3 linked regions of the Rattus norvegicus genome follow. Each later gene encodes a partner of the first gene's protein in a complex. Links are inferred from orthologs where the notes say so. Each region holds a gene or a part of one and is shown in the gene's direction. Other genes may lie near its edges.

Region 1 (6,868 bases):
ATTAACTATTAGGTCATTTTGTGTGTGTGTGTGTGTGTGTGTGTGTGTGTGTGTGTGTGTGTGTGAGAGAGAGAGAGAGAGAGAGAGAGAGAGAGAGAGAGAGATTGATATTAACTATTTTGGAATAATTTGAGCTATACCACTGTTAAATAAGATTTTTTTTTTTTTGATTTCTCTTTTCTTATAAGGTGGACTCTCAGTATCCCCCTGTTCAGAGACTAATGACCCCAAAGCCAGTTTCCATAGCAACAAATAGAACTGTCTATTTTAAACCATCTCTGACCCCATCTGGTGACTTAAGGAAGACTAATCAAAGGATAGATAAAAAGAACAGTGTGAGTTTGATTGTTTATTCTGTTTTCTTAAGACAGTGTCTTGCTATGTAGCTGGTCTGGAACTCAGTAGATAATTAACCTCACGTTCGTTCATATCAGTTACATTGCTTCGCCTTTCAAGTGCTGGGTTATATAGGTGGATCAACCACCACATCTGTTTGAGTGTATTTTTTATCCATTTATTTTTTTCTTCTTGAACTAGTCTTTGAATATTGGCTGGATTGAATAAGGAAGAAAATGTAAATTAGAGGCCCACTGGTGTCATCTGGTAATTGTATGGTGTATGATGTCTGTAAACTGGTGAAGAGTTAGAATTGATATCCCTTCAGAATAGCCTTTACATTGATCAAATCCTAAATTTGTATGGGTAAATTTACTGCTTAAATAAGTTTTGTTAGGTTTACTTATCTATGAATTTTATTTGTGTGACTGATATATAAAAAGTTTCAGATGTCATCTCATTTGACTGAAGTAATTTTATATTAACTCATCTTTAAAAAATATGTATACAGTTTTATCTGCTTCTCTAAACTAGAACCCAAAGTTTTAGATACTGCTTTTGGGTTTTTCCCCCTAGATCACATAATGGTTTATTTTTTTGAGATGTTTTATGTACCATAAAGTTAAGTATTTGATGCTTATTCATTAGTGGTTTTAGAACATCCATAGGCGTTGAGCCATAACTGTGTTAAGTTGTAGGACATTTTCATAATTTCCTAAACTTTTTTAATAACTGTTGTCAGGGTAATGGTAATGATTATATACTTGTAGCAGATACTATTGTTTTTAAAGCAGGGTATTATTTCATAAAATGGTTTTATGGAACTTATTACTTGGGCTCTTTGGAGTCTTTTCAGAGTTTGCTCTAATGTATAATGCTGCTGTAGACTTACTTAGGTACACTTTTGTGGGTATGAGTTTTTATTTTTCTTAGGTCTTTGCCTAGGAGTGGAATTGCTAGGCATGTTTTTAAAGAGACCAGGCTAGTTGTCAAAATGTCTCACATTTTGGGTTACTTGTCATTTACTTTAGAGAAAGTTTTTTTAGTTTATCGTTTTACTGTTTGTGCCTACACTCTTTTCCAGTCTCATAAAAACAGCTCAGTTTCTTGAAAAACATTACATTTGGTAGACTAGTGTAGTGATTACCCAGGTACTAGCTAATATTAGTTTATTAGTCATTAATTTTTTGTCGTATTAGGGTATCTTTATTGAACCTTCCTATTTTCAAGAGTAAAAAATATTATTATTAATAATTAGTCAAGCCTAATTGCTTGTCAAGGCTTCCAAGGCAAGTGCTTTACCACAGAGCTACATCTCAGCTTGTAAGAAAAGTACTAGTATTTTACTAAATTTGTCTCTTTCCCCCCTCTGTTTATTTTACAAATTAGGATTCTCTGTAGTAGATAATAGAGTTCAAACCCAAGAAGAGAATCTTGGTGCTGCACAAAACTATAAATTTTATTTAGATGTTAAATACTGACAGACATCATCAAGACCGTGACATGTAGTTGTCATCTGTCTTTGTCTTCATTAATCTAGAATATTTTTGAAAAGACGAGTTAGTTACTGTATAGAATGCACAGCGCTAAGAGATTGTCCTGGGTGGGTCTAGATTCTGGTTATTCCTGGTTATCCACTGAAGGAGGGTTGAGCTCATCTTAGGGCTCAAGTGGAACTTATCCTGTTTTTTTTTTTTTTTAAAGATTTATTTTTTATTTTATGTATATAATAAGTACACTGTCACTGTCTTCAGGCACACCAGAAGAGGGCATTAGATCCCATTACAGATGATTGTGAACCACCCTGGTTGCTGGGAATTGAACTGAGGACCTCTGGAAGAGCTGTCAGTGCTCTTAACCACTGAGCCATCTCTCCAGCCCTCTCCTGTCTATTTTTGATCCCATTAGCATTATTGAGAATTTTTGCCTCAAGCTGTTTTTGATTGCACTGTGGTAGACTTTTAGTTCTATTGTTCTTTTTCCATCTATTGATTGGCCCTTTGCTGTAGAGAATTTTCTGTGTTTAACTGAATCCTTAATTTTAGAGTTGCTTCTTTGATGCTTATCTTCCCCTGTATTTGCCTTTGAATGGATTCTGTGTCCTTTTATTATGCCCCATCAGTTTTGGGTATCTTATTTTTTTATATTGCAAGGTAATTCCGAATCTTGTACATTTCTGGTTCTCTGATAGTTCTGATGAGTTGGGAGTACTTTATATCTCAGATTCTGTCCTTGTAAAGTTGTCTATCATTTAGTACAGCAAAAAGGAAAGTTGTCCCCTAAAAGTCAGTGTGACCTTTGGACTAGTAGATGTGTGACATTTTGTATATATGCTCATATTACAGTGCACAGTGCAGTTGTGACCTTTGGTTAGCATTCAAACACAATGTCTAAATTACATATACCAAGGCCATTAGAAAATCAAATTTTTAATTTCAAATAATAAAATTTATAAGTAAAAGGATGTTAAGAGAGTTTGAATCTATGGATGTAGCTTTCAGTGGTGGAAGTACTTGCCTTGCATTTGATAAGGCTGAGTTAATCACAGCACTGAAAAAAAAAACTAAGCCAGAAATGCTCACCTGTGATCTCTGCACTTGATGGGTGGAGGCAGCGGGAACTAGATCTCAAGTTCAGTCTGAGCTGTATACGGAGTTCGAGGCACTCCTCATTATTACCCCACTCCCCAAATAATTGTCATTTTTTAAATAAAATCCTCATACTATTTTTTTCTTTCAGACTGTAGATGAAAAAAATATCTCAAGACAAAATAGAGAGCAAGAAAGGTAATGTCATCATATACTGCAAATGGATTTCTTTATATTTGTAGGGTTCATATTTACAATAGCCTTGAAGATAAAGAAAATTGAAACGTATACTTAGGTGGTGAGCGAGATGCTCAGCAGGTCAGGGTACTCTACCAAACCTGAAACCTGTGTTTAGTCCCACGTAGTGGAAGGAGAGACCTGACTGCCAAGAGCTTTCCCACTAACCTTCACAAGCTGCCCATACTAAGATCATGTGTGCTTACATGCCCATGAATGTATGAATACATAAATAAATGCAGAAGAAATTTCAAAGTATATTTGGCTATACCCTAATTGTTTTGTTAGCTGATCTGGTGTTTGAATATTTAACAGTTTCTGCAACAAAATATTGAAATTGTTCTAATTTTCTTTTTTTTGTTTGCTAGTGGCTTTTCATACCCCAATTTCAGTATTCCTGCAGCCAATGGTTTATCTTCTGGAGTAGGTGGTGGAGGTGGCAAGATGAGAAGAGAGAGAACAACACATTTTGTTGCTTCTAAACCTTCAGAGGAGGAGGTAGGCTCACATTTTATAGAACTTTGAGAGGGTCGGGGTGAAGTAAGGCCTATAGGAATGGGGCTTGAAGATTTGGAGTGAAGAGTATCGACCATTGAAACCATCCTTTCGACCATTGCTCTAATACCCAGCCCAGAGGCCTCAACTTCACGAATTGGGTAAAATAACTTTAAAAAACCCCTCCACCTTTTTATTTTATGTATTTTTGTATGTGAGATAATTCCCATCGACATTATTGGATTCTCTGGTTGCTGCCTTCGGGTTTTGCTTGTTTCTCAAGTGTACATACGATTAACACTGTGTACTCTCTCTGCGATGGTTCATGTTTAATGGAACAATGGAATTTACATTTCTCTGCTGTTTATCCTTTGTGCAGATTTACTACAATTAGTCCATTCTCTCATCAGGGTACATTTGGGCTGATCCCCAGTATGTGCTAAGGTGAATATTGATACACTTCTCCTTTGCCATGTGCAGTTTGGTCTGGAGGATATTTACCAGGAATGAGGTTTTTGGACTACAGGATTTGACATGTCTTTAAATGTGTTGTTGGTCTTGGCTATTATTCTCTTCACAACACTCCATGTGATCATAGATGGATCTTAATTTTTAAAATTTTTCCTTACTAGCATTTGGTTTTGGTCCATTTCTAGTGTGATAGCTAGAAAAAAAGTCACCCGGGCTTTATTTTGCGTCTTGTTTCATGGGAAGGAGGAATCTTTTGTATGTGTTTTGTGACCATTTAGGTTTGTCTTTTATTATTTTCCTATTAATTAGGATGAGTTCTTGGACTGGTGAGGTAGCTCTGGGTAGAGGTGCTGCTGCCAATCTGGTGACTTTAGTTTCATCCGTTCCCATGGTGGAATAGGAGGTCTGAGTCTGCGGGTTGTTGGTTAACCGCCACATGTGTGTGTTTACATGTGCACACACACAAACACACACAGAAGTAGGTAAATTTGAAAAAGAATTGATCTCTAGGTATTGTTTAGATATAGAACATAGAGACTAATTGAAGATTGGTTAAATTGACTTTCTGTCTAGAGATTGCTCATTTTATTTATTTATTTTAGCTACTTTTTGAGTTGGAACATCCCGTTTCAGTCTTCTTAAAATTGATTTCATCCAAGCTAAATCATTTTAGGCTTTCACCACCTTCTAAGATGTTCAACTTACTTGCTCCTTTAATTGGAATGTAGGGCTTTATAAACTTTTATGTGTAGGGGTGCTTTGACTGCGTGTTATTTCTTTGCACCACACACATGCAATGCCCATGGAGGTTTGAAGAGGGCGTTGCAGTCCTTCAAATTGGAGCCATGGATAGTTGTGAACCACCATCTAAGGTTGGGAACTGACTGAACTCAGCCCTCCTGCAACAGCAGCCAGTACTCTTAACAAGGCAGCCATCTTTCCAGCCTTGGGGACTTAATACTTTGACTTACTTGTTTCCAGTTACAATTTCTCATTATGTTTATTGTATTTTAAAGTTTAAAACTTATATTTCATTAATAGGGATTTTTTTTCTAGTATGTGATTGTGGTCACATGTGTGGAGACCATTGGACAGCATCAGGCATTGATCTTTGTCTTCCTCTTTGTTTGATACAGGATCTCTGTTGTTTGCTGTGTTCATGCCAGGCTAGCTGGCTGGTAACTGCTGGGAATTCTCATCTATGCCTCCCGGTTTGTTATGGGAGCAGGGGGATTACCAGATATTTGCTGCCTGTGGTTTTATGAACTCAGGTCCTCACACTGGTCAAAAGAGCTTTTTCCCACTGAATTATCTTCCTCAGCTCAGTGTTTGTTGTTTGAAGTTGAATTTAAAATCTGTCAGTGTTTGCTTTTATAGATTTTTGTGCAGTTTTTTCACTCCAATTTTTTCCCCTGGTTAGTTTTGCTTCTTGAGTACCAGAATGAAAACTCCAGCAATGTAACTTTGTTAGGATTATGCTAAGGGCTTTGGTTTAGTTGTCTGGGGGTTGTTTTTGCTTGTCACTGGAGTGTTGTAAAGGGACATGTTCTGCCTTTTTGAAAGAAAACTTGAGCTTTGAATGCCCTTGGTCATACAATATGTACATTTTGTACTTTGTATGGCATACTCATTTGGTTTTTTCCCTAAAAAGTATATTTATGTGTGTGAGTACACTGTAGCTGTCTTCAGACACACCAGAAGAGGGCATCAGATCCCATTACAGATGGTTGTGAGCCACCATGTGGTTGCTGGGATTTGAACTCAGGACCTCTGGGAGAGTAGCAGTCAGTGCTCTTTTTTTTTTTTGTTGTTGTTCTTTTTTTTCCGGAGCTGGGGATCGAACCCAGGGCCTTGCGCTTCCTAGGCAAGCGCTCTACCACTGAGCTAAATCCCCAACCCGCAGTCAGTGCTCTTAACCACTAAGCCATCTCCCCAGCCCTTGATTTGCTTTTTTAAAAAAATGTTTTAGGTGTTCCTGTATGGAGTGTGCGTATGTGGGTTGTGCTCTTGAGACATGTGTGGCATTGTTTCATAGTGGAGCCCTAAATGTAATACAGAGGAAGACATTTCCCCCATTTTAAAATACTTTTTTTTTTAGTTGGTGTGTGTGTGTGTGTGTGCGCGCGCACGCGCGCACAGTCAGTGTTTGCTATGGTGGACAACTTTTAGGAGGAGGTTTTCTTATACCACTCTGGGTTCTGGGGATAGAGCTCAGGTCGTCAGACTTCTCCAGTGTGCAGTTTTGCCTGCTCAGCCTGCTCGCCGACTCTTATTCTTATAAGATTGGAAATTGGTGCTGAAATTAGGTTACATGGCAGTTGGTGTCACAACTGGGAATTCAAGCCTTGTTTAGGTTTTTAATTCAAGTGCTCTTGTTAATTTTGCATGGGGTCTGCTTTCTTCATATTTAAAACTTGATCATAGCTACGTCATTTCTCTTTGAACATAGTAAAATAATAAAAGCACATGACATGACATTCTTACAAAACATGCTGTGTTTTAGGAAGTAGAAGTACCATTGTTACCGCAAATCTCTCTACCAATCAGCAGTTCTTCACTGCCCACCTTCAACTTTAGTTCCCCTGCGATCTCGGCTGCTTCTTCGTCATCAGTCAGCCCTTCTCAGCCATTATCAAACAAGGTATATAGAACCACTGTATAAGTGAGGTTATGTCTGTTTTTACTCTTTAATTTTTAAAAGTGGTTTTCACTATAAAAATCAACTCAAACTAAGAGAAAAA
Region 2 (7,651 bases), on another chromosome or scaffold:
GTTACAAATTCTCCAGGAAGTCCCCAGCCTCTGTGGATCTGGACTCTGTACCTGAAGAGATTAATACAGGTTTGGACAGGTCTGGATTGTAAGGACTGTTGGGTTCATCCTAGCTATTATTGCCTCCCTCCGGGTAGCAGAGGCAGGGTGGGGCCAGCTTTCTTCAGCCTTTTTTTTTTTTTTTTTCTTTTTCCTTTTTTCCGGAGCTGGGGACCGAACCCAGGGCCTTGCGTTTGCTAGGCAAGCGCTCTACCACTGAGCTAAATCCCCAACCCCTTCTTCAGCCTTTCTATGGACACAGACTGACCTATGGCCTCCTTTCCGTTCTCCTAGGCAAAGCAGGCGACACTTCATGCGTTTAGCTCTTTCCCTCTTGGGATTTTCCTCTGAGCGAAGCCAGGAGAGGAAAGGTCACTCTGGCTTCCAAGTACAAACTATCTTCCTTCTATCTTGGCTGAGATGGGATTATCCTTGGGTAATCCTGACACTTTCCCGTACTGACCCATCATGGGTGGGTCACAGTCTGAATAATTAAAATTATCATTAGCTTATGTGTGTGTGACATCTGCGAAGGTGTGCGAGAGCCAATATGCCCATGTGAATGTTGAAAGAAAAGTCTGTGGACTCAGTTCTCTCCTTTCACCTTTGTGGGGGTTCTAGGTATTAATCTCAGGTCCTCAGTCTTGTGTTGCAAGTATTTGTATCCACTGAGCCATCTCACTGTCACCCAGGCTGAATACTTTAGATACTTTACACAGCTCCTCTCGATAAAGACTTCCAGTATCCAGAGAGTCAGCCTGTCATTATTCCTATCTTAAAGACAGAACAATTGAGGCTTAGACTCTCTTAAGGCCATACAGTTAAGCTGTATGGCCAAGGATTCTGATCAGATTTATTTGACACAGAATACCCAAGCATTAAGCTTTCTGTTCTGCTGCCTCCAGGGTGTGCTCCAGCCATGCCCTACCCAGATTATAAAATGGGGGCTCTGCAGCACATTCAACTTCCCTGAATTGGTGTGTATGCCTTTAGCCTTTTTCTGTATTTTAAATATCAGCAACAATAAAACCAGGAAAGCTTTGCTTCTTTATTTTAAGTCTGAATCAACTTTCTGGCTTCATCTTCTGGGAGGAAGCTAAATCTGCCTTTCATCCCTTAGTTCTTGGTGTCCAAGCGGCTAGCTGCTGTGAGGACCATTCATTCTCCCAATTTCCGTTCCCCCATTACAGCTGCTATTCGGTACTAGGCCATCAGCAAAATCAGTAGGTAGAGGGGCAACAGGAGATTGTCTATCTGAGTTGTGTATGCTTCCAGAAGCGACACAGTGCTGATGGACCCCAAAATCCAAGCATAGCTGTAGTTCAGGTCTACTCCACTGTCAAAGATTAGGATCAGAGCCACAGAGATGATTTGTGCAAATATAGATGTCATAGTTCCCTCGAATGTTTTCTTAGTTCCAGGCCAGCGGATCTCCCCCATGGTGCTGCCAAATATGGAGGCCACAGTATCGCCCACACCCACAGCCAGGACCCCAGCATAGGGGACCAGGGCTCTTGCTCCTCCGAGGCTGCCCTTCTGTGCACAGGGTCTGGGGATCAGCCAAATGGGAAGAGACATGCCCAGAAGCAGGTAGATGTGCGTCAGGATGAGGGGCCCGCTGTCCCGTTCATCCAGGAAGAGGGACAGAAGGCTGCGCAGAGTGTGACCCAGGGGCTTGATTCTGAAATAGCGCACATACTCCAGGAAGATGAAGACGGCCAGACACACGGTGGCGGCCACATACAGCAGTGGCCGGTCAAAGATGATACCGGGGATGTAAGTGGCCACCACAATGAAGTGGAAATACTTTCTGGTAATGGTAGGAGCCTTGTGCTTCTTGGACTCAGAAGATGACCGCTTGGCATTCTGGTACAGCACCACCAGGCAGGCCATGGTGGCCAGCAAGGACCAATAGGCTAGGAGGTAGATGCGAGTTTCTGTGTAGAAGAGGAACTGAAGAAGCCAGAGCAGGGGGTTCCTACGAATGAGCCAGTGCAGCCAGGGCAGAACCACACCAAGGCCCAGCACACAGGTCATGAGGTGGAAGAAGATAGAAGAGGCCCAGGTGCCCGAATCCATGAAGACAAAGAGGGTGCTGAAAAAGACACCCATGAGCACCATCCCCACCACCACCACCAACAGGAAGAAGTCCACTGGGTCCCCCTGGCTTTCAGTCAGAGAGCGCTTGATGAGCTGGTTGAGGACGAAGCTAATGCCACCCAATACCAGCAGTGCCTCCCCAGGAGTGAAGCAGCGGGGCAGCAGGTACAGCAGGATCATGTTGAGATAAACGAATATTAGCAGGACTTCCAGGACCTCGATCACCTCGCCCACACTGAGCGAGTGCTTCATAATATAAATGATAATACCTCCGGCCAAACCCGAGATGGCACAAGTATTGGTGGGCACCGGGCGAGTAATGCCCAGTGCCAACACCGAGGAGAAGAGGGCCACTGCCATGCCAGTGGCTGCAACCACAATGCCGAAGCGCTCGAAGTATGGGTTCCCTGCAGTCAGGCAGCGCTCCTTCATGACCAGCCCAAGCAAAGGCATGACCATGGAGGCCGGTAGTAAGCCACTGTTCGCGGACATTCGGAACTGGAAAACAGCATTCCCCTGCTGGAGCAGCCGGTCCCACTTGTACTGGACGTAGAAGGCCTGCACTGCTAAGGCCACGGCGCACCAGGAGTATCGGTCCCACACTGCAGCGTGGATGCTCAGCACCACTGCGAACACCACTGCAGCCTCCGCCAGCACTGACCCGCTCAGCGCAAACCCAGACTCCGGGGCTTGGGGAGGGCACTGTCGGGTCATGTCTCTAGGCCTGGGTATCTTGGGAGAAGAAGCTTGGTGACTAGGGACGCCTTGGCTTCTGGAGCCCTCAACCCGCCAAGCTGAGGGGCAGCAATTTCACCCAGGCAGCGACCTTCTCCAGTTTCCAAAAGAGTGCTTCACCGCGGGCCACTCTGAGGCCTGGGAGCCGGCGCCCAGTCACCCTCCACCGCTTTCAACCTACGGTGTAGCAGATGTTTGCACTCTTCACCTCTTACAGGCTCCACTGCCACCGCCGCGGACTCGCCTCACACCAGGGCAGCGCCATCTTGACAGCCCCTTCCTAGCCACGCCCACCACCACGTGATTGAAAACCCAGGCCCCCGGTCTGGCGGCGCACGGTCACGTGGGTGCAGCGTATAGGGGCGGGGCTGGGACGCGCGCGCGAAGATGGCGGCTGCCGCCGGTGGGCCGTGTGTGAGGTACGGAGTGGGGCGCAGCGAGAGGGTGGGGGGTGGCCGTGAGGCGCGGGGTGGGAGCTGGGCCGGAGTTGGAAACGGGACCCAGCGGCAGTGACGGAGACGGGCCCGGGCTGGGTGGACGGACACTTGCCGGGGAGGCGGTTAGGTCCAAACCGTTCCCGCTCGCGGGGCTGAGGACACTTTTTGGAGCGGGCCGGCCGCTCTCCTTTCTTCGTGGTCCCTATGCCTCCTGTCTTCCCCATACACCCACGCTTCCTGCACTACGCTCCCTGTAGGCACTGCGGGATATTTCGGGGTCTTCTGGAAGATCCACCCCACCGCGATCCCTGCCTTGCTGTCCCTGTGCCCTGCACCGCCTCGGGTGTGCCTTGCCCACGCCGCGAGTTCTTCCCGCGAGCATCCTTAGTTCCCGCCTTCTTTTATTTTTGACTAATGCTGATATTGATTCAATCAGCAGGCATGCCTTCATCTTCCAAATGATTCCGGGTACTGTGCCAGGGTTCGGACACAAGATGAATTACCCCAAAACAAACATAGTTCTCACGGAGTTCGTTCGTTCTTTCTTTCTTTCTTTCTTTCTTTCTTTCTTTCTTTCTTTCTTTTCTTTCTTTCTTTCTTTCTTTTCCTTTCTCTTTCTTGTTTTTCTTTTTTGAGGTAAGATCTTTTGTATCACGTGCAGGCCTTGAGATCCCTGTTTTCTTTGCCTCCTTGGTGCGGAAATTACAGACATGGATTGCGAGAGCCCCACTTGCCTTTAAAGAGCGCTTACTAGCGCCAGACCCCGGGAAAGTGCCTTGCAGGCCTTATCTCATTCATTTCCCACAACTAGGAGACGCACCTCCTGTTACACAGGACTAAGAAGTCCAGTTCATACATAGTCAGTCCCCCTCGTCTGCCCCTCGTGATAATCCCCATGAGGATTCAGATCGAAGGCTCTAAAGCCTTAATCAGCCCTCTGTATGTATCCACGTTATAGATGAGAAGTGTCTTCACCTCTCCTCCTCCCCTAAAATGTAAACATTCCCTGTTGCCCGGAATTGACTCTGCTAGTTTTATTTGCTATTGTTCCCTGCTGAACCCTTAAACACCCAGACAAACATGTAAATATCACATTGCCTATCTCTCTCTACAGTAGCCTCTTCACCGTCCACGGGCAGCAATTTCTTTGGAGTTTTCTGTGGATAAAGTGTGATTCTTGTGGGGGCCAGTTTGGTTTTCTTCCCCCTGTTGTTTCATGCTAGGCCTTGTATCCACAGCTATGGAGAAATACTTGTATGAAAACTTTAAAAAATGAATTTTTTTTTTTCGGAGCTGGGGACCGAACCCAGGGCCTTGCGCTTGCTAGGCAAGCGCTCTACCACTGAGCTAAATCCCCAACCCCGAATTTTTCAAAAGGAAAGGAAAATTTTGACTTGCCAGCAGGCTTTTAGCTTTCTGTGGAACTTCAAACCTATCTTTGAGGGAGGGAGGACTTTAACTGAACCTAGGGTTTTTATTTTACTTTTGTTTTGAGGTCCTAGGGGTCAAACCCAGGGCCTCATGAATGCTAGGCAAGCACTCTAGTACTGAGTCACAACCTGAGGGCACCTAGCAGTAGGATTCTAGGTACTGCCTTGGTCTATTAACACAATGACTTTTAGCACTGAAAAGTATGTGTCTTAGCAGTTTGGAGTAGTGGGCTGTGTTTCAAAAGATCGAGATCTGGAGCAAGAAAACGTCCATCCTGGTTTTTGTACCTACTGCTTTATGACTGGTCTTAGAAGTCGCCTTGTCATTTCAAGCTCCTACTTCTCCAAATGGAAATCGTCTTAATCCTTGTGTGCAAGGTGTGTGCACACTTGTGCTTGTGGAGGCTGTCGGGTACTTTACTTGGTCCATCCTTATTTTACCAAGGCGGGGTCTCCCTCCCGATGAATGAATTTGGAGCTTGCTAATTCAGGGCGTTCTTTGGTCTTCTTATCAGATGCTTTATCCATTGAGCCATCTCTGTAGTCTTGTGTTGTTTAGAGGCGTATTGGAGCAACCATGAAACCTGATGATCTATGTAGCTGTGACCGGTCTGGCAGTGTGACATCCCCCCTGACCCCCCAGTCATTCTGTTGTTGCATTTGCAGGTGTGTGCAGAGAAGCCAGCACCAGTGGCACTGGAGTGACACTCAACCACACAGAATCCTGTGAAAGTCACTCAGAATGTGGCAGAAAGTTGGTTTGGACATTGGTATTTTGATGTCTCTTGGTGTTCTTCAGTTAATGTGTTCGTAGAGCCTGAGTAGTGCAAGGGTGTGAAAAAGTAAAGATATTTTTGGAAAGCTATTGCTGGACCTAGTGTGGTGGTGCACACATTAAATCCCATCAGGGCCGTGGTGGTGCCCACATTAAATCCTAGTAGAGGTAGGCTGATCTCTGAACTCTAGGCCAGTCAGAGCTACACAGTAAAACCCTGTCTCAAAAAAGTTAAAAGCTATTGCTACTGAGTTTAAGTCCTAGTTTACAAGAGAGCCTGTGCTTTCTGGAATCAGGTAGACAGTGGCTGTGTTTGTTTCTGTGTAGAATATAACTGTTTCTTAAAAAGACTGGATTGGGGCTGGAGAGATGGCTCAGTGGTTAAGAGCACTGACTGCTCTTCCAAAGGTCCTGAGTTCAATTCCCAGTAACCACATGGTGGCTCACAACTGTCTGTAATGGGATCTGATGCCCACTTCTGGTGTGTCTGAAGACAGCTACAGTCTACTTAAATATAATAAATAAGTAAATCTTTAAAAAATAATAAGAAAAAAGACTATGTTCATGAGAATAACTCAAGTAGCTCAGTGTTATTTTCCATCCAAAAGTCTTTAAAATGTTCTTTCTTGAACATTTTATTTATTATTTTCATGTCTGTGAGTACTTTGCCTGCATGTATGTCTGTGTATCACCTTTGTGTAGTGTCTTGGATCTGAAATCACAGAGGGTTGTAAGTCACCTTGTGATGCTGGAAATTGAACCTGGATTCTGTCTAAGAGCAGCCAATGCAGCCCCTTCCCCCCAAAGTTTCAACCAGATGGATGTCTCTAAGGAGAATAAGCAATGTCTGATGTGCTTTTATTTATTTTTAGATTTTATTTTATGTATATGTGTGTACACCAGCAAGAATTTATGTGCACCAGGTATGTTAGTGGCCACAGAAGCCAGAAGGTGTTGATCTTCTGGAACTGGAGTTACAGGCACTTGTGAACTGCTTGGTGTGGTTGCTGGGAACCAACCCCAGGTGCTCTCTAATAGCAGTCATCTCCCCCACTCCTCCCTCTCGCATTCTCTCTTTCTGTTTGTGCCATGGTGTGTGTGTGCAGGTCAGAGGACAGCCCCCAGAATTCTGTTTTCTCCTTCCATGGTTTTTGGTTTTTCGAGATTCAAGACAGGGGATCTCTGGGTGGCATTGGCTGTCCTGGAACTCACTCTGTAGACTGGGCTGGGCTTGAACTCAGAGACCCGCCTGGCTCTGTCTCCCCAGTACCTAAGTTAAATGTGTGTAGCACCACCTTCCAGACTCTCTTTTCATCTTAATGTGGCTTCAAGGATTGAATGCAGATCTCCAGGCTTGAGTAGCAACTATCAGCAAGTGTTTGTGCCCGTGAGCTACCTGGCTGGCCCTTTGCCTCTTAGAAATAAAGTTCTATGTTGTTTCCTAGAATTTTAGATTAGTGATCTGTATGTTTGTATATTTTTACATTTATGTATTTATTTATGTATTGTATGTATGTTGGTGTGTGTTTGCTAAGGAGTGCATGTGGAGGTCAGGAATACCTTGCCAGAATCTGTTTTTTTCTTCCACTGTGTGTGTGTGGAGGGGGAGTTGGTCCTGGGATTCAATTCTTTAGGCTTAGTGGTAAGTAACTAGGTAATCTTTACCCATTTATAGTCTATCGATGCATTAAAAAAACAAAAACAGGGGGCTGGGGATTTAGCTCAGTGGTAGAGCACTTACCTAGGAAGCACAAGGCCCTGGGTTCGGTCCCCAGCTCCGAAAAAAAAAGAACCAAAAAAAAAAAAAAAAAAAAAACAACAACAACAAAAAAAACAAACTTAGTATGTGTCTGTGTATGAGGGAGCATGAGTGCCGTGTCATAGCTGGTGAGCAGAAGACACATCCAAGTCAGTCCTTCTGCTCTACAGTCAGGCTGAACACGGCTTGCAAGGCTTGTGCAGCAAGAGCTACACCATCTTGCAGGCCCAGTCAGTATGTTTTTTAAAAAGTCACCTCTGAAGCTACACACTTGTCTTCAGTTTCTCTCCTGTCCACTTAGCTCAGATGTGGTGCACACTTAGTTCCCGGAGGATAAAGGTAGAAGCGGTTTCCCTCCTGAGCCTTTAGGCCGGCT
Region 3 (7,440 bases), on another chromosome or scaffold:
AAGGTGGATAAATTAATTAATGAGAATGGCCCCCATAGACCCATAGGGAGTGGCACTATTGGAGGTATGGTATTGCTGAAGTAGGTGTGGCCTTGTTGGAGGAAGTGTGTCAGAGTGGACTTTGAGGTTTCAGAAGCTCAAGCCCAGTCCACTGTCATTTTTTTCTTTCTGCTGTCTGCCAATCCAGATGTAGCCTTTCCAGTACCATGCCTGCCTGCATGCTGCCATCCTTCCCGATATGACTATAATGGACTAAACCTCTGAACCGTAAGCCAGTCCCAGTTAACTGTTTCCCTTTATAAGGGTTGCCATGGTTATGGTATCTCTTCACAGCAGTAAAACCCTAACAAAGACACTGGCCAATATTTATTTGCTTGACGAGATGAGATTTACTATTGTACATGAGACACACCTTAGACATTAGAAAATGATCACTTGTGGTCACCACTCCCCTTCCCTACATAGGCAAGAGAAAGTCCTAAAGTATTGATTTTTGTCATTTCTGTAGACTGGCAGTTCTCAACCTGTGGATTGAGACCCCTTTAGGAGCCACATATCAGATATCCTACATATCAGATATTTATATTATAACTCATAACTGTAGAAAAATTATATCATGAAGTAGCAACAAAGTAATTTTACGGTTGGGGGTCACCACGGCGTGAGGAGCTGTATTAAGGGGTCACAGTAGAGGGTTGAGACCCACTGCTGTAGAGCTCACTGAGCCAAAAGTTCTAAATTTTGCTGGAAAAATAGAAGCTGGGTTAATTTATAAAGAACTTATTGGTGTGGGGGGCAACTAGAGAATTGGCTTGGTGGTATAAAGAGTGCTCACTGTTCTTGGAGAGGACCCAGGTTCTATTTCCAGCACCTACAGGCTGGCCCACAACTGTCTGTAATTCCAGTTTCAGGGGGATTCAATGCCCTGTTCTGGCTTCTGTGGGCATCTGGCCCACAAAGACAGAACACATACACACATGCACTCAAAACCCTCATATCCATGAAGTTAAAACAAAACAGAATTTCTGGGGCTAGCATGATGGTGCAGCGGATAAAGACACTGTTACCAAGTCTAAGGACCTGGGAACACACACACACACTCACACACACACACACACACACACACACACACATACACACACACAGAGCTATCTCTTCTCTCTCTCTCTCTCTCTCTCTCTCTGTCTCTCTCTCTCTGTCTCTCTCTCTCTGTCTCCTGGCACATTAATTAATGTCATAAAAGTAAAGACCTTTATGGTTGGCCAGACATTTTAGTTGGTAGAGTACCTTCTGAGCAAACATGAGAACCTAAGTTCTGATCCCCAGTGCCCAAGTAAAAGCCAAGTGTGGTGGGAAGCCCCTTTAACCCTAGCACTAAGGGGAGGGTGGCAGAGACAGGTGGATCCCTGGAGCTCACTGGCTAGTTATCTGTGCCCATCGGTGAGCTCTGGGTTCAGTGAGAGAGCCTGCTTCAAAAAAAAAAAAAAAAGGTGGAAAGGGATAGAGGAAACCACGCAACAGCGACCTCCGACCTCCAAACACGTGTGCACATAGCTGCCCATACACTTATGTATGTACATACACAAATGTATAGACATACACATGCAGGCAGAAAGAAGTTCTATGCGGCTGACATGCTAATTATTGTGGGCTTCCTTGACCGATAAGTGTGTTTAGGTTCCCTAAGCATATCAGGCAAAGCTTAATAGAACACTTTATCAGGCAGGCATCCACCAAACTAGAATTATTAATGGTGACAATTTTATCTAGGCCTGTGTTCACATGTACCTCATTATGTCAGGTGGGTGACCTTCACTGAAAGATTAGACATGTCTGAGACTGTGCAACCCAAAAAATGCCTCTTTAACAAGTAAACGCTATTATGGGAGCTGAAGCAATGGCTTAGCATACTTCTCTTGCAAAGGACTTGTTGGGTTTCCTTCTTAGTACCCATGTCTCACAACCACTCCGGCAGATCCGATGACCTTTTTTGGCCCCCTTGGGCACAAGGACACACACACACACACACACACACACACACACACACACACACACGCACACACACACATTCTCCTCCCAGCAGTTGCTGAGATCTGTAGCTTGCCTGTACTGTTTTGTCTTTTCTTTTCTTTTCTTTTCTTTTCTTTTTCTTTTTTTCGGAGCTGGGGACCGAACCCAGGGCCTTGCGATTCCTAGGCAAGCGCTCTACCACTGAGCTAAATCCCCAACCCGCCTGTACTGTTATTTTTCTCTCAAACTTCCAGCAAAATTGTCTTCCTTCTGGGTCTGTTTTCAAATTTCTTTTTACTTACTAAACTAAGAACCTCCAGAAGGATTCTTATATATCCCAGTGACACACTTTGTTCCACTTCCCAACATGGCTACACTGAAGTAAATCTCTTTGAAGTTTCACCACTGTTCTTTTCTGTAATTGGCCTACTGGGGCAGGCGGCCAACCTAGCTTGCTTGTTCAGACTGCCAAAACACAGACTTTTCCCTTAAAAACTCCAAAACATGTTTTTAGCTTCCACCTTTTAGTCAGAATGTCACCTGAGAGAAGCCTTCCTTGGTAACCCAACCATTTTTCTTCAGTTAATTTGCTTTTCTGTTCTTAGCTCTCCTAATTACTCCTGTATTTATTCACTATATTTTGTTTCCCTGGCCAAGCTGAGAATCGTTTGAAGTCAGGGATCTTGTCTGCTGCGGAAGTCACCGTGTCCCCAACACCTAGAACAAGCCCAGGCACTTGCCTAGAGCTCTACAGCGAGTAGCTGAGCTCTCTGGTTTGGTCCAGCTGTGGGAACTGCGGAAATGCTTTCTCAAGTACTGTCAACCTGAACTACGTGGGCGGGAGAAGGGCGGAGCTCCCTTGACTTACTTGTAGCGACAGCTCCGCCCCTGGTTCCGCCCCAGCCCCGCCCACGTCTGTGTTCTCTTGCGGATCTCCATAAAGTTCACTTGGCGGCGCAACGCGCAGGGGCTTCTGGGAGCTGACCGCCTCAGCCAATCAAGAAGCGCGGGCGAGCGGCGCGAGAAGCGGCGGCGGCGGCGTAGTGAAGTAGCCGGGAGCTGGCGGCGAGCAGGCGGCAGAGCCAGGTAAGGCATGTGCGGCGTGGGCGACCACGCGACCCCGATCCTGGGCCTGGCCCGAGTTCGGGGTCTGGCCTCGAAGCAGAACCCCGAGCCTAACTCGAACTCCATCCTATGTTCGTAGCCACGAGGCTCGCGCTTCCTTTCTTGTGGTGGCTGGCTGGGCACGCCGACCGGCGACAGCTCACCGAGTGCTGTGACTAGGCTCTTCTGAGCGTGGTCCTTCCTACTGGTGCACTATCGCCACGCCCACCCACGGCTGCCAGGCGTCACTAGGCCTGGCTGCCCTCTGTGGGTCGTGGGGGGCGTTCTTCTAGAGAATGGCTTTTCCGGGTGAAGGGAGGCCACCCAGCGAACCCCTGTCAACTGTTGTCTCCTTTTACGGATAATCCAACAGGATGCTAATGGTTGCCACTCCGGTTGTCTCTTCTGTTTCTGGGTACCCTGTATCCTATCTTCTGTAAGGAGTGCCCAAATATATTGGGTCCCTTCTAAAAGAAAATCACAGCATGCCGGGCATGGTGTCACTGTCAAAGGGAGTTGGAGCCAGGCTGGTCTACATTAGACCCTGCCCCACCCCTACCTCACTAGATGACTTTCAGCACAAGCAAAGGTCAGCACTTTAGTAACAATAACAGTAATAATCATCATCATCATCATCATCATCATCATCATCATCATCCACCCCTAGTTCCCTAGATGACTTTCAGCACAAGCAAAGGTCAGTGCTTTAGTAATAATAGTAATAATAATAACAACAATAATATAAGCCCCCCCCCCATAGTGAGCTGTAAGGCTTTTAAATAATGTGACCCACATTCTCAGAGTCTGTTACACCCCCCCCCCCCCCCACCGCTACCACTGCTAGACATGCTTTGACTTCAGGTCTTAGTTCTTGTGGTTGGATGTCTGTTTTGCCAGCTCTAGAGGGGCATTTAGAGTGTAAACCTTTCCTCACTCCTTGTCTTCACTGCCTTAGTTGTATTCCAATATTTAGGTTCTACTCGACCTATGTCTTGTCTCTCCGCTGTAGAACATGAGCGCCTACCTAGAACCTGGGTCTGGCACACAATAAAGTAGGTGCTCAATAAATACCAAATAAATGAATGTTATTGATATCATTATAGGCTTGTGAATGTGGTGGTGAATGAGACAGGCTTGTTTCTTGGGAAGACATCATATATATAATATATATTATATATACATATGAGTGTATATACATATGTACATATATGTGTGTGTGTATATGTATGTATGTGTGTGTATACACACACACACACACACACACACACACACCATGAGAGATGAACTGTTGGAGCTGTGGTGAGTTTGGGGTCTCTGTCCCCCTCCCCCCTCCTTCTTGTGTGACTTTTATGTATATGGATATATGTATGGAGTCCAGAAGAGAGTGTCTGGTTCCCTGGAGCTAGAGTTACAGACAGCTAGCTGTAAATCACTGATGTGGGTGCTGGGAACTAAACTGGGGTCCTCTAAAGAGCTGTAAGTTTTCTTAACTGCTGAGCCATCTCTCTAACCCCTGGGCCTATGAGGTAGTTACATTTAGAAGTGTGGGTGTGTGTGTGTGTGTGTGACAGAGTAAAGATCAGGAAGAAGACCCAAGTCTGTTATGGTCACTGGTCATTTTAATTAGCAAACACATTTTTAGTTCTGTTGTGTGCCAGGCTTAGCTAGATGCTCAGGATTCAGGGTTAAATATTTGTGAACCTTTCCCTACAGGAAGACATGTTTGAGAAGAAGTGGTTGCAATTGCTCCACTAGGGAAGAACGTTCAGTATAATTAGGGAGTCCTTTGGGTAGGTTAGAGCAGCCCTCTGACTTGGCAGTATGCTTAGGAGCTCCCTGTGTCTGGTGAGGATGTGAGTGTACTTGACATGGACTGGAGCATGAAGGAAGGAAACTATGCAGAGCTTCCTAAGGCATAGAGAACTGTCAGGGTACAGCTGGGGAGGAGTCGAAGATGGTGCATGGCACTGTCTATTCTACAGAGCATGCAGCCAGGTCACAACCTGAGGTTGAAGGTGCCCCTGATGGTCTAAAGTAGGAGGTATTTTGGAATATCCACTTTGGCCACAGCAAGACTGGGTTAGAAGAAATGGGAAGTTTTAGGCTGTTGAGGTAATTGGAGGAAGTTATGAGGGTCAGAGCAGAGAGGAAAGGTGAGGGTGTGACTCGTTATGAGGTATGAGAAGTAAACTTGGAGATAGGCTGGGCTCGGGGGAGAGGGGAGCCAGATGGTTTCTGGTTAAATTGACTGTTGTGGGGACCTAAGATGAGGAACTAGAATTGTCGCTGGCACTCATAGATCAGTCAGGAGTAGCTATCAGATAGACGAGTAGAAAGAATTGGTTTGGAGAAAGAATTAGAATTTAAAGATGCAGGAGTTTTGTTTGTTTGTTTGTTTGTTTGTTTGTTTGTTTTTTTGCCTTATTTTATGGCCTCTTATAGTTCTCTCTCCTCTGTTTCAAATAACCTAAAGGTTGAAATGTTTTGTAGCTTTATACTTTGTATGCATTTGATTGTGTGTGTGTGTGTGTGTGTGTGTGTGTGTGTGTGTGTGTGTGTGTTGGGGGTGGTGAGATGCATGCCCATGCGTGTTTGTGGATGTCCCAGGTCAGGAGTCTTGAGGTTGGCGTTGGATGTTTTTGTTGCTTTTTGAGACAGCAACTCTCTCTGAACCTGGAGCCTACCAATTGGCTAGACCAGCTTACCAATGAGTCACCCAAGATCTACCAGTCTCTGTCCATCCCTCCCTCAGTGCTGGTGTCAAATTGATGCCACCACATTCAGCTTTATACATGGGTACTGGGGATTCAAACTCGCATCCTCACGCTTGCGCTGAACTCACTTTTCGCAGTCAGCGGCCTTCTGTTTGTAAGGACTAAAGGCCACTTTACTCCACCAATGCGCTCAAATAGTAGCTTAATCTAACTCCAGTACACAGTTACTGACTACCAGGAAAACCTCAAGCACCTCCAGAAATTTCTGTTCTACATTCCTGTGCTGATCTGTAAGGTCAACTAAAGGAATAACCTTATTCTTCTCCCTCCAGTAGTTTTCGGGTGTCTTTGGTGTATTAGTTACTTTTTGTTCATTGCACTAGGAATTCATGCAGTGAAAAAAAAAAAAAAAAAGCAGGACAAGCTTGCCAGACTCAAGGACACTGTTAGAAGACCTGGTTTTGACATGCACTTCTTATGGGATAAACCGTAGAAATGGTGGGACTCCTTTATGTGGAGCGTCTTAGTAGCATCTTCACAAAGGAGACCCGTGAGCAGAGACCTGAATTGAGTAAGGGGATAGGCCTCGCCCACATTTAGGGGCAAATGCTCTGTAGCTGCAGAGGAAGTGGTTCCTGCAGAGGGCAGTGACAGCTCTTGAGTTTAGCATATTTGAAAACCAGCAGGAGGCCATATGGTTATATAGTCATGGGGAAGAGTGGGAACAGAAGGGCAAGGGTTGATTCATGGACACATGATGGAGATCTCAGCACACACAGAGCTCATATATGCTACAGGACCACCTGCCTCAGCTTTCTGGGTAGTCGGGATCATAGGCGGGCAATTATTATCACATTAGGCTGGACTTGAGTGTACAGGTAATGGGAATTATTGAAGGCTTAGCCTTTATTCCCCCTTTCATATATATGGAAGAGAACATATGGGTAGCAGAGGTCAGTATAGGAATAGGGAAGCTACTGTGATCTTGGATGAGGCATGGAGTGGCTTGGAGTAGGGTGATAGTGGTAGAATAAACAAGTGGATTCGTATAGGTATTTATGTCTTTTCAGAATAAATTAACTCAGGTTAATTAGCAGGTGTCATGACAGACACTTGGGGGGGGGGAGCAGGAACAAGGAGGGGCTCCTCACTAGGCTCAACTCCTTAAAGGTCCTATCACATCTGAGTATTGCCACATTGGAGTCTTGGATAGCTTCAACTATATATAAACCATAGTATTGGGTTGACTTGAATTGGCCTTAATGCTATTATTTGCTCAGTGGTTACAATGTGGCAGGGGAGGGAGGTATAGTTAAAGTAGTCAAAGATGAGTTGCAGAGGGAGTAATTATCTTGCTCAGAGTCTCACAATACAAGGATGAAATAGCTGTTAGAAGATTGGTGGGTGTTTTCGTTGAGGAAAATGTTAACTAGAAACCTGGGCAGGGCATAGTCATGGACAGTACATCTGGGGACCAGATGCCGAAGTCAGAAGCAGTCTCACTGGAATCCCTGGGAGTGGGGCCCAAGGCGTTTTTAGTTAGAGTATTTTATGGAAAGTGATGTGAGACAAAGAATAGATTGACCGGAGGGTGTGGCTAAAGGGACATGGA

Evidence for each region. Proteins that work in one complex are often made in the same cells at the same time.
Region 2: Nup153 (region 1) and Nup188 share a complex: the UniProt entries of both Homo sapiens proteins name them as parts of the nuclear pore complex. The link is inferred for Rattus norvegicus from reciprocal best matches to the Homo sapiens genes NUP153 and NUP188.
Region 3: Nup153 (region 1) and Nup93 share a complex: the UniProt entries of both Homo sapiens proteins name them as parts of the nuclear pore complex. The link is inferred for Rattus norvegicus from reciprocal best matches to the Homo sapiens genes NUP153 and NUP93.

The regions. Positions count from the first base shown.
Region 1 is NC_086035.1:18,204,178-18,211,045, forward strand, and holds part of Nup153 (nuclear pore complex protein Nup153), read left to right. Parts: intron 1-188; coding exon 189-335; intron 336-3,075; coding exon 3,076-3,122; intron 3,123-3,529; coding exon 3,530-3,659; intron 3,660-6,630; coding exon 6,631-6,768; intron 6,769-6,868. UniProt on the Homo sapiens protein: Component of the nuclear pore complex (NPC), a complex required for the trafficking across the nuclear envelope. Functions as a scaffolding element in the nuclear phase of the NPC essential for normal nucleocytoplasmic transport of proteins and mRNAs.
Region 2 is NC_086021.1:33,954,568-33,962,218, forward strand, and holds the start of Nup188 (nucleoporin NUP188 homolog), read left to right. Parts: upstream 1-3,244; 5' UTR 3,245-3,261; coding exon 3,262-3,293; intron 3,294-7,651. Other genes in the region: Dolk (dolichol kinase), read right to left, coding at 1,243-2,853. UniProt on the Homo sapiens protein: Component of the nuclear pore complex (NPC), a complex required for the trafficking across the nuclear envelope. Required for proper protein transport into the nucleus.
Region 3 is NC_086037.1:10,789,531-10,796,970, reverse strand, and holds the start of Nup93 (nuclear pore complex protein Nup93), read left to right. Parts: upstream 1-3,033; 5' UTR 3,034-3,096; intron 3,097-7,440. UniProt on the Homo sapiens protein: Plays a role in the nuclear pore complex (NPC) assembly and/or maintenance. May anchor nucleoporins, but not NUP153 and TPR, to the NPC. During renal development, regulates podocyte migration and proliferation through SMAD4 signaling.